Macaca mulatta: one gene and its partner. The protein of the gene in region 1 purifies or fractionates together with the protein of each later gene. This does not show direct contact. Links are inferred from orthologs where the notes say so. Each region holds a gene or a part of one and is shown on either strand. Other genes may lie near its edges. The genes, in order: MAP2 and PRKACA.

Region 1 (3,818 bases):
GTAAATTGCATATCAATGACATGTAAACACTTTACTAAACCATTTTACATTTTCTCTAAAATTCCACAATCCTGATGACATCTTTCATCCTCTTCAGGTAGGTTATAGAGTTTTTATGCTAAATCAAGAGATTCTGCTTGCCCAAGCAATTTTGCTATTAAGTTAAATGAAGCTATTAATTTGCTATTGAGTTTAATGAAGTTCTAAGTTTAATGAAGCTAAAAACCTGAGAAAATGAACTGAGGTGTGTCATGTTAATTTCTAACTCCTAACTTCAGAGATATTCTTCATCCTGAAGCTTTATCAAGGTTTGCATATATACAAGCCTTCCATTTTCCAATTCGGCCTTAGATTCTTGTTTTTGAAGGAAAGCACATGATATGATTTCTAGATGAAGAACACAAATACAAAATACTTGGAATTTTCAATAACTAAAATAAAACCATCAATTACCTTGATTTTCTCTTTCTCACAAAGGCTAATGTTCCTTTTAACCTTTAAAACCATCCGAAGATTTATATAGAGGCACTGATGATGTACAATGGAAAGAAAAACATTCTTTTCTGATTTAGCGATCTGTCATTTTGTAGGCTACAAGCATGCCACTTAATAAACTCTAAAATAAAATATACTGTAAGATTATCCTAGTATAATTAAACATATAAAATAAATACTTTGCACTGAAATTTAGAAAAAAGTTGGCATTACAGATATTTGTAGGGGTTTTTATGATGGTTTCCAACATGTTTTATTTCTTTGTTTTATCAGTTTTATAAACTTAGGAAAAAATATGTATTTGAAGAAGAGAAGTGAGTAGACAGCAGGCTGGGCGCGATGGCTCACGCCTGTAATCCCAGCACTTTGGGAGGCCTAGACAGGTGGATCATGAGGTCAGGAGTTCAAGACCAGCCTGGCCAAGATGGTGAAACCCCATCTCTACTAAAAATATATATACATATATAAATTAGCTGGGTGCACACCTGTAATCCCAGCGACTCAGGAGGTTGAGGCAGAAGAACTGCTTGAACCCAGGAGGCGGAGGTTTCAGTGAACCGAGGTCGCGCCACTGCACTCCAGATTGGGTGACAGAGCGAGACTCTGTCTCAAAAAAAAAAAAAAAAAAAAAAAAAAAAAAAAAAGTAGGTAGCAAAGTAAAAATAAACTGAAGTTTATTTCTAACTTAAGTTCCTCCAAAAAGGAAGAGTTTTCGCTTCAAATTTTTGAATACTAAATTATATAGAAAAGTTGAGTAGTTTGGATCCAACATATTTAAGAAAATCTCCATGACACAAGGTCAGCTAAGAGATGTAGTTTAGTAGAGTGAAAACCTTGTTAATTTTGGATATGAGGAATAAAATCTGATATAATTACCAGAAAATTTTGTTTTCTTTTTTTTTTTTTTCCAACAAAAGCAAAGTCATAGTAATTTTGTAAACCACAATTTCACTTCCTGGCTTGCTTTTCATTTTCAGTATCTAAATCACTACACATTCTTGGTGGTTTTCAATAAATTCATCAACATCAGTAACAGATTTGGCAGTAACAATGTAGAAAATAGGACAAATATTTATGGGTTTAAGCATGAGAGGGATAAATAAGCAAAATAATGAGAATGCATACCACAGTTAAATTCATCGCCATCGTCTAACCAAACACACAGAATGAAAATAGGAATCCCCAGAACGTGACACTAGAGCACAATGCCAAGATACAATCACGCACTGTTATGTCTGAGCATGACAAAGAAACAGATGGTCATGACCTTTTCTGTAAGGAGGGGGAAAAAAAGAATAATGATACAAGACACTTAATAGCAAATTTTTCATAACTGCTGAGATTCTTGGAAGAAAAACAAAATGAAGAAGCTGCTACAGTAATGAGATTTAAAAAAAAATACATGTCTATGTTTGCCAGTCACATTGCAGAATTGAACAGTCACCTGTGGTTTTCCGCTTAACACAGGAGAGATGAGTTGGTCTAGTATATTTGATAGCAGGTTTTAAAATGAATTTCCTGGAGGGAGAGTGGGCCTGAACTTCTGTTTTTTTAGCAAGTTCAGCCTTCTTATAAACTGCTATGAATAAGAAAACACAAAAAGCATACCATCAGGAAAAAATAAACACTTGGAGCAAAACCGAACGAAATTTTATAAATAATTAGTTACCACTGTTAGGCAGTTCTTCTGCAAAAAAGTAATAATGAATTACTTCAAAAACATTTTTAAAGAAGTGATTGTTAAATGAACCTTTTTTCCTTCTCACTTCATCTCTGGAGACTGTGCTAGGTTCCTTTTTAGCTACTTTTCTTTCAGGAGTGGAAATTCTGCCTCTCCCGGTTTTAAAAGGCTTTTCTTTTCTATGTTTCTCAAGAGATGATCTCCGAGCTTCCTTTTCAGCTTTCTCCTCTTTAGGAATAGTTTCTAACTGTTCTGTCATGATGCTCCTATCATCATCTGTGGATCAAAGCAAATCATGACAACAACAACAACAACAACAACAACAACAACAGTGAAAACATTAGTAACAAGTGTACAAAATCCTTTGTATATTTAACAAAATGCAAAACAAAGAGATAAAGAGGTATTTTAAAATGTTTAAGTGAAAAAAAAATCCCATAAGGTTATTGTGTTTGAGTTGAGAGTAGAAAATTTAAAAAAAATAATAATAATGCACACCTTGAGTGTCCACCCAGAGGCTGTCAGCATCCATGATGGAGTCGTCAATGGTGGTCTCGTCTTTGTAATCGTCATAGGTTTCTGTCTTATATTCAGAAAATGCAACCTCTTCTCTCTCAGGGGAAGCTGGAGCCTCTGGGGAACCATCTTTGGGTTCTGCCTGGGCTTCAGCTGCCTCTTCTACTTCAAACTCTTCTTCGTCATGAGGAGATGGTCTCCTTTCCACCTCAGGCTGCTCTAGTGCTGCAAAACGCACGCTGTGGGACCCTGACTCCCCTTCATCAGTTGTGGTTTGCACTACAGTGATGAAATCATCCTCGATGGTCACAACAGACTCAATCACTCCTTTGTGTTCACCTGGGCAGGTCTCCACAAATTCCTCCCTGGCACCTGAGACACCCAGGTCAGTAATCTGAAGGGTGTCTGAGCGGAAGAGCAGTTTATCATATTCTCCCTGGGCTTCTATCTCTTCTTCCTCACTCTGAATCTCTGCTGGTTCAGATATGATTGCTTCATGCAATGGCTCTGCAACATCAGAAGGCGTGATGGATATATCTGGGGTCTCTTTGCTTTCTTCTTTTGGCCCCTGAATAAATTCCATCTGGACATCAGCTCTCTCATCTGTGGCTAAATCAGCCTCTGAAACAGCAGGTGGGCAAGGTATTTCCACCGACAGTTTGACAGCAATCTCATCTTGAATTAGAGATGATTCTGGAGATGTTTCCTTCTTGCCCTCATCAGCTTTCAAGGACTCCATGGTAAGACTTTCATGCTCACCACTAGACTCATAGGACTCCTCCTTGTCTACAGCCTCCTGGTGCACCAAGTCAGGCTTGGCCACCTTCTCTTTGACTTCTGTCTCACTAACTTTGATGCCTTCTTTCATGTGGCCAGACTCGACACCCATAAATGCATCTACCTCCTGCGGTGCTTTGGATGAGGGGGTCATGTCCTGTGTAGCCTCAAGTTTTAGCTCTGTTGTCCTTCTATCATCTATGTTTAGCCCTGAAGCCATCTGTCCAAAGTCACTAATTTTAACATCTAGTTGACCCTGGACAGCAAAATCCAGACCTTGTTCCACCTTTTTGGATGATTCTACCTCAGCTACCTCTGGCACTGAACTAAGACCCTTCTCCGCTTTCTC
Region 2 (3,818 bases), on another chromosome or scaffold:
GCAATTCCATCTCAGGTCTACTGGACTCTAGAACTTGTATTCTCAGTTGCTGCTGCTGCCGCTGCTGCTGAAGGCATCTCTGCTGGGGTTCAGAGACTTCTGAAATATTCATGCTTATGACAAACTTTTTCTCTCCTCTCTTTCTGCATAGCTAAGGCTCTTCCATTCTTTAAAGTGCAGCTCGACTCTTCTTGAAAGTTTTCCCCATACACTCTGAGCCCATAGCCTTGTATGCAAGTCATCACTGGAGTTAATAGTTGCAAGAAACGACTTCTTGTTCCTGCTGTGCCTCTTACACGCTTTGTGACCTTGGCCATGGCCCTTAACCTCTCTGGGCCTGTGCATGCCTCTCAGATGTGGGGCAGATATCCCAGGGCTGCACGAGGGAGATAACACCACTGAGGGTGTGGGGGAACTAGAAAATGCTACAAAGAAGGGAGTCATGTGCATCTTCTCCTATGGGATCTTCTGTGATTTTTTTTCTTTCTTTCTTTTTTTCCACTCTGGACCATTTTCTTTTTTTTCTTTCTTTTTTTTTTTTTCTGAGATGGAGTCTTGCTCTGTTGCCCAGGCTAGAGTGCAGTGGCGCAATCTCAGCTCACTGCAACCTCTGCCTCCTGAGTAGCTGGGATTTACAGGCATACGCCACCACAGCCGGCTAATTTTTGTATTTTTAGTAGAGACAGGGTTTCAGCATGTTGGTCAGGCTGGTCTTAAACTCCTGACCTCGTGATCCGCCCGCCTCGGCCTCCCAAAGTGCTGGGATTACAGGCGTGAGCCACCGTGCCCGGCCTACTCTGGGCCATTTTATTGGCAGTTTCTATTCCACCCATGGCAGATGCCTCATCTTTCCTTTTTTTTGAGACGGAGTCTTGTTCTGTCGCCCAGGCTGGAGTGCAATGGCGTGATCTTGGCTCACTGCAACCTCCGTCTCCTGGGTTGAAGCAATTCTTTGGCCTCAGCCTCCCAAGTAGCTGGGATTACAGGTGCCTGCTACCATGCCCAGCTAATTTTTGTATTTTTAGTAGAGATGGGGTTTCACTATGTTGGCCAGGCTGGTCTTGAACTCCGGACCTTGTGATCCACCTGCCTCAGCCTCCCGAAGTGCTGGGATTACAGGCATGAGCCATCGTGCCAGGCCTTCATCTTTCCCTTTTAGTGATGCTATGTGTCCAGCCGGGCACCCCACTTGCCTGAATTTTTTTAAAAGACTGTGTCTGGCTCTGTGACCCAGGCTAGTTTGCAGTGGCACAGTCACAGCTCACTGCAGCCTTGAACTTCTGGGCTCAAGTGATCCTCCTGCCTCAGCTTCCTGATGAGCTGGGAATACAGGGGTGCACCATCACGCCCAGCTAATTTTTAGCTTTTTTTTTTTTTTTTTTTTTAAGAGATGGGGTCTGGCTATGTTACCCAGGCTGGTCTGGAACTGCTGGCCTGAAGCCTCCACTTCCCAAGGTGCTGGGATTACAGGCGTGAGCCATTGCACCCAAATGCAAAGTTTCAAAGCCAATCAGTGGCAGAGCTGGGACTGGGGTCCGGACTGGGGCCCAGGCTGAGCCTGAGGACGCTGCCACCACAGTGTCGTGACTCTGGGCCGACCAAAAGCTCCTGTGTAGGAGATGCTGGACCAAGTCGGGGGATGGTCGGGTCTTCCCAGCAAGGTGGTTGAGCTGAGGGCACAGGTGGGGTCCCCAACCTCTCTCCTGCTCTTAGTGCCTACGATGATTACCTACTCACCAAAGTGTGATCTTGGCCAAGACACATCCCTTTTCCCAGCCTGTTTCCTCACCTCTCCTGCAGAGGGTGCCACCATCTCAGGGTGTGACTGATGGGGGGATTCTAGGGCCTGGTGGATGGCAGGCACTTTGCGCCTGTCACAGATGTGAGCTGAGGTGGTTTCAGCACCCCTCATCCGAACCCTCAGAGTTAGGCAAGTCTGGGTTTGGGAGAGGAAGCATGGGCTGTAAACGCTAAGTGAGAGCACTCCTTGGTGAGGCTGCGGACAGCACCTGGGAACAGGAACCAAATACACTGGTTTTTCTGCCTTGGAATTTGCGAAAACTCACACTAACTGGGACAAGGAGTGACGAAGAGGGTTGCCTGGCAGGGCGGTTTGTGTTCTGCGGCCAAGAAGTTTCTGTGAGGCTTGGGGTTTTGGAAGCTCTTGGGATTCTGGAACCGCGGGGTTGGGGCTGGACAGTGAGGGGGCCTCAAGGTGTTGGCCTCAGTGTTGCCGGTGCGTCCAGCTTCACCACCTGGCCTGACTTAAGGAACTTCTAGATTATTCTGACAACAAGCAGGGCTCCCCAGGGAGTAGGATGAGTGAGCAGGGGAGGGTCTGTTTCTTCCAGGGCTGTGTCCCCGCAGCCGGACCTCACCTTCCCAGAGACGATCTTCTCATAGATCTGGATGGGCTGGTCTGCGAAGAAGGGCGGGTAGCCAGCGGCCATTTCATAGATAAGAACCCCCAGGGCCCACCAGTCCACAGCCTTGTTGTAGCCCTGGAGCAAGATGGGGGGGCACAGGGTGAGGAGGGGGCGAGCAGGAGAGCAGAGCCGGCCTCAGGGGAAGGGGAGGGCTGGGAGGCGCCTACTTTGCTCAGGATAATCTCAGGGGCCAGATACTCAGGGGTGCCGCACAAGGTCCAAGTGCGGCCCTTCACGCGCTTGGCGAAACCGAAGTCTGTCACCTGTGGGCACAAGAACAGGCAGTTGGCAGGAAGGGAGGGTCCAGGCCACGGCTTCCCCAGGGCTGCCCCTCGCCCGGCCTGGTGGGCACCTGAATGTATCCCTGCTGGTCAATGAGCAGATTCTCCGGCTTCAGGTCCCTGTAGATGAGATCCAGCGAGTGCAGATACTCGAAGGTCAGGACGATCTGGGCCGCGTAGAAACGGGCATGGGGCTCGCTGATGGGGACAGATGGAGAGGTGAATGTCAGTGGCCATGCCCCAAAATGGTCCAGCAGGTGGCCCTGCAGAGCCTTCCCCAGAGGAAGACAACTCCAGTCCAGCTGTCAGAAATGCGAGGCACCTGATTCTTAGATAGCCCGACACGGGAAATAGCCTGTAGGTCCACCCACAGGAGAATGGAATCACAGACTGAGCTATAGTCATATAATGGAATTCCACTCACCACCACCACTGCCAACAGGACAGCCCATGCATCCACTCAACAACGTGGCTGCATTTCAAACTGATTATGTTAAAGCAAAAGAAGACACAAAAGAACATGAATGATTCCATTTATATCATGTCCACGCCCAGACAAAACAAAGGCACGGTGTTTGAAGTCAGAAAGGACAACTGCCTTTGGCGGGGAGGTGACGTGTCGAGAAAGGGATTTGGCCCGGTGCGGTGTCTCATCCCTGTAATCCCAGCATTTTGGAGGGTCGAGGTGGGAGGATCACTTGAGCCCAGGAGTTCGAGACCAGCCTGGGTAACACAGGCAAGATCTCACCTCTGTGTGTATGGAGAGATGTGTGTGTGTGTGTATATATATATATTTTTTTTCAGTATTTTTTTTGAGATGGAGTCTTGCTCTGTTGCCCAGGCTGGAGTGCAGTAGCATAATCTTGGCTCACTGCAACCTTCGCCTCCTGGAAACAAGTGATTCTCTTGCCTCAGCCTCCTGAGTAGCTGGGATTACAGGCATGCACCACCACACCTGGCTAATTTTTATATTTTTAGTAGAGACAGGGTTTCACCATGTTGGTCAGGCTGGTCTCGAACTGCTGACCTTGTGATCCGCCCGCCTTGGCCTCCCAAAGTGCTGGGATTACAGGCGTGAGCCACTGCACCCGGCCTCCACCTCTGTATATTA

The links.
Region 2: the proteins of MAP2 (region 1) and PRKACA purify together in Homo sapiens (affinity purification with mass spectrometry; 3 studies listed by BioGRID and IntAct, with this or other methods). This does not show direct contact. The link is inferred for Macaca mulatta from reciprocal best matches to the Homo sapiens genes MAP2 and PRKACA.

Annotation. Positions count from the first base shown.
Region 1 is NC_133417.1:114,860,235-114,864,052, reverse strand, and holds part of MAP2 (microtubule-associated protein 2), read right to left. Parts: coding exon 2,675-3,818; intron 2,453-2,674; coding exon 2,246-2,452; intron 2,075-2,245; coding exon 1,940-2,074; intron 1-1,939. UniProt on the Homo sapiens protein: The exact function of MAP2 is unknown but MAPs may stabilize the microtubules against depolymerization. They also seem to have a stiffening effect on microtubules.
Region 2 is NC_133424.1:14,682,161-14,685,978, forward strand, and holds part of PRKACA (cAMP-dependent protein kinase catalytic subunit alpha), read right to left. Parts: intron 2,906-3,818; coding exon 2,779-2,905; intron 2,690-2,778; coding exon 2,594-2,689; intron 2,502-2,593; coding exon 2,379-2,501; intron 1-2,378.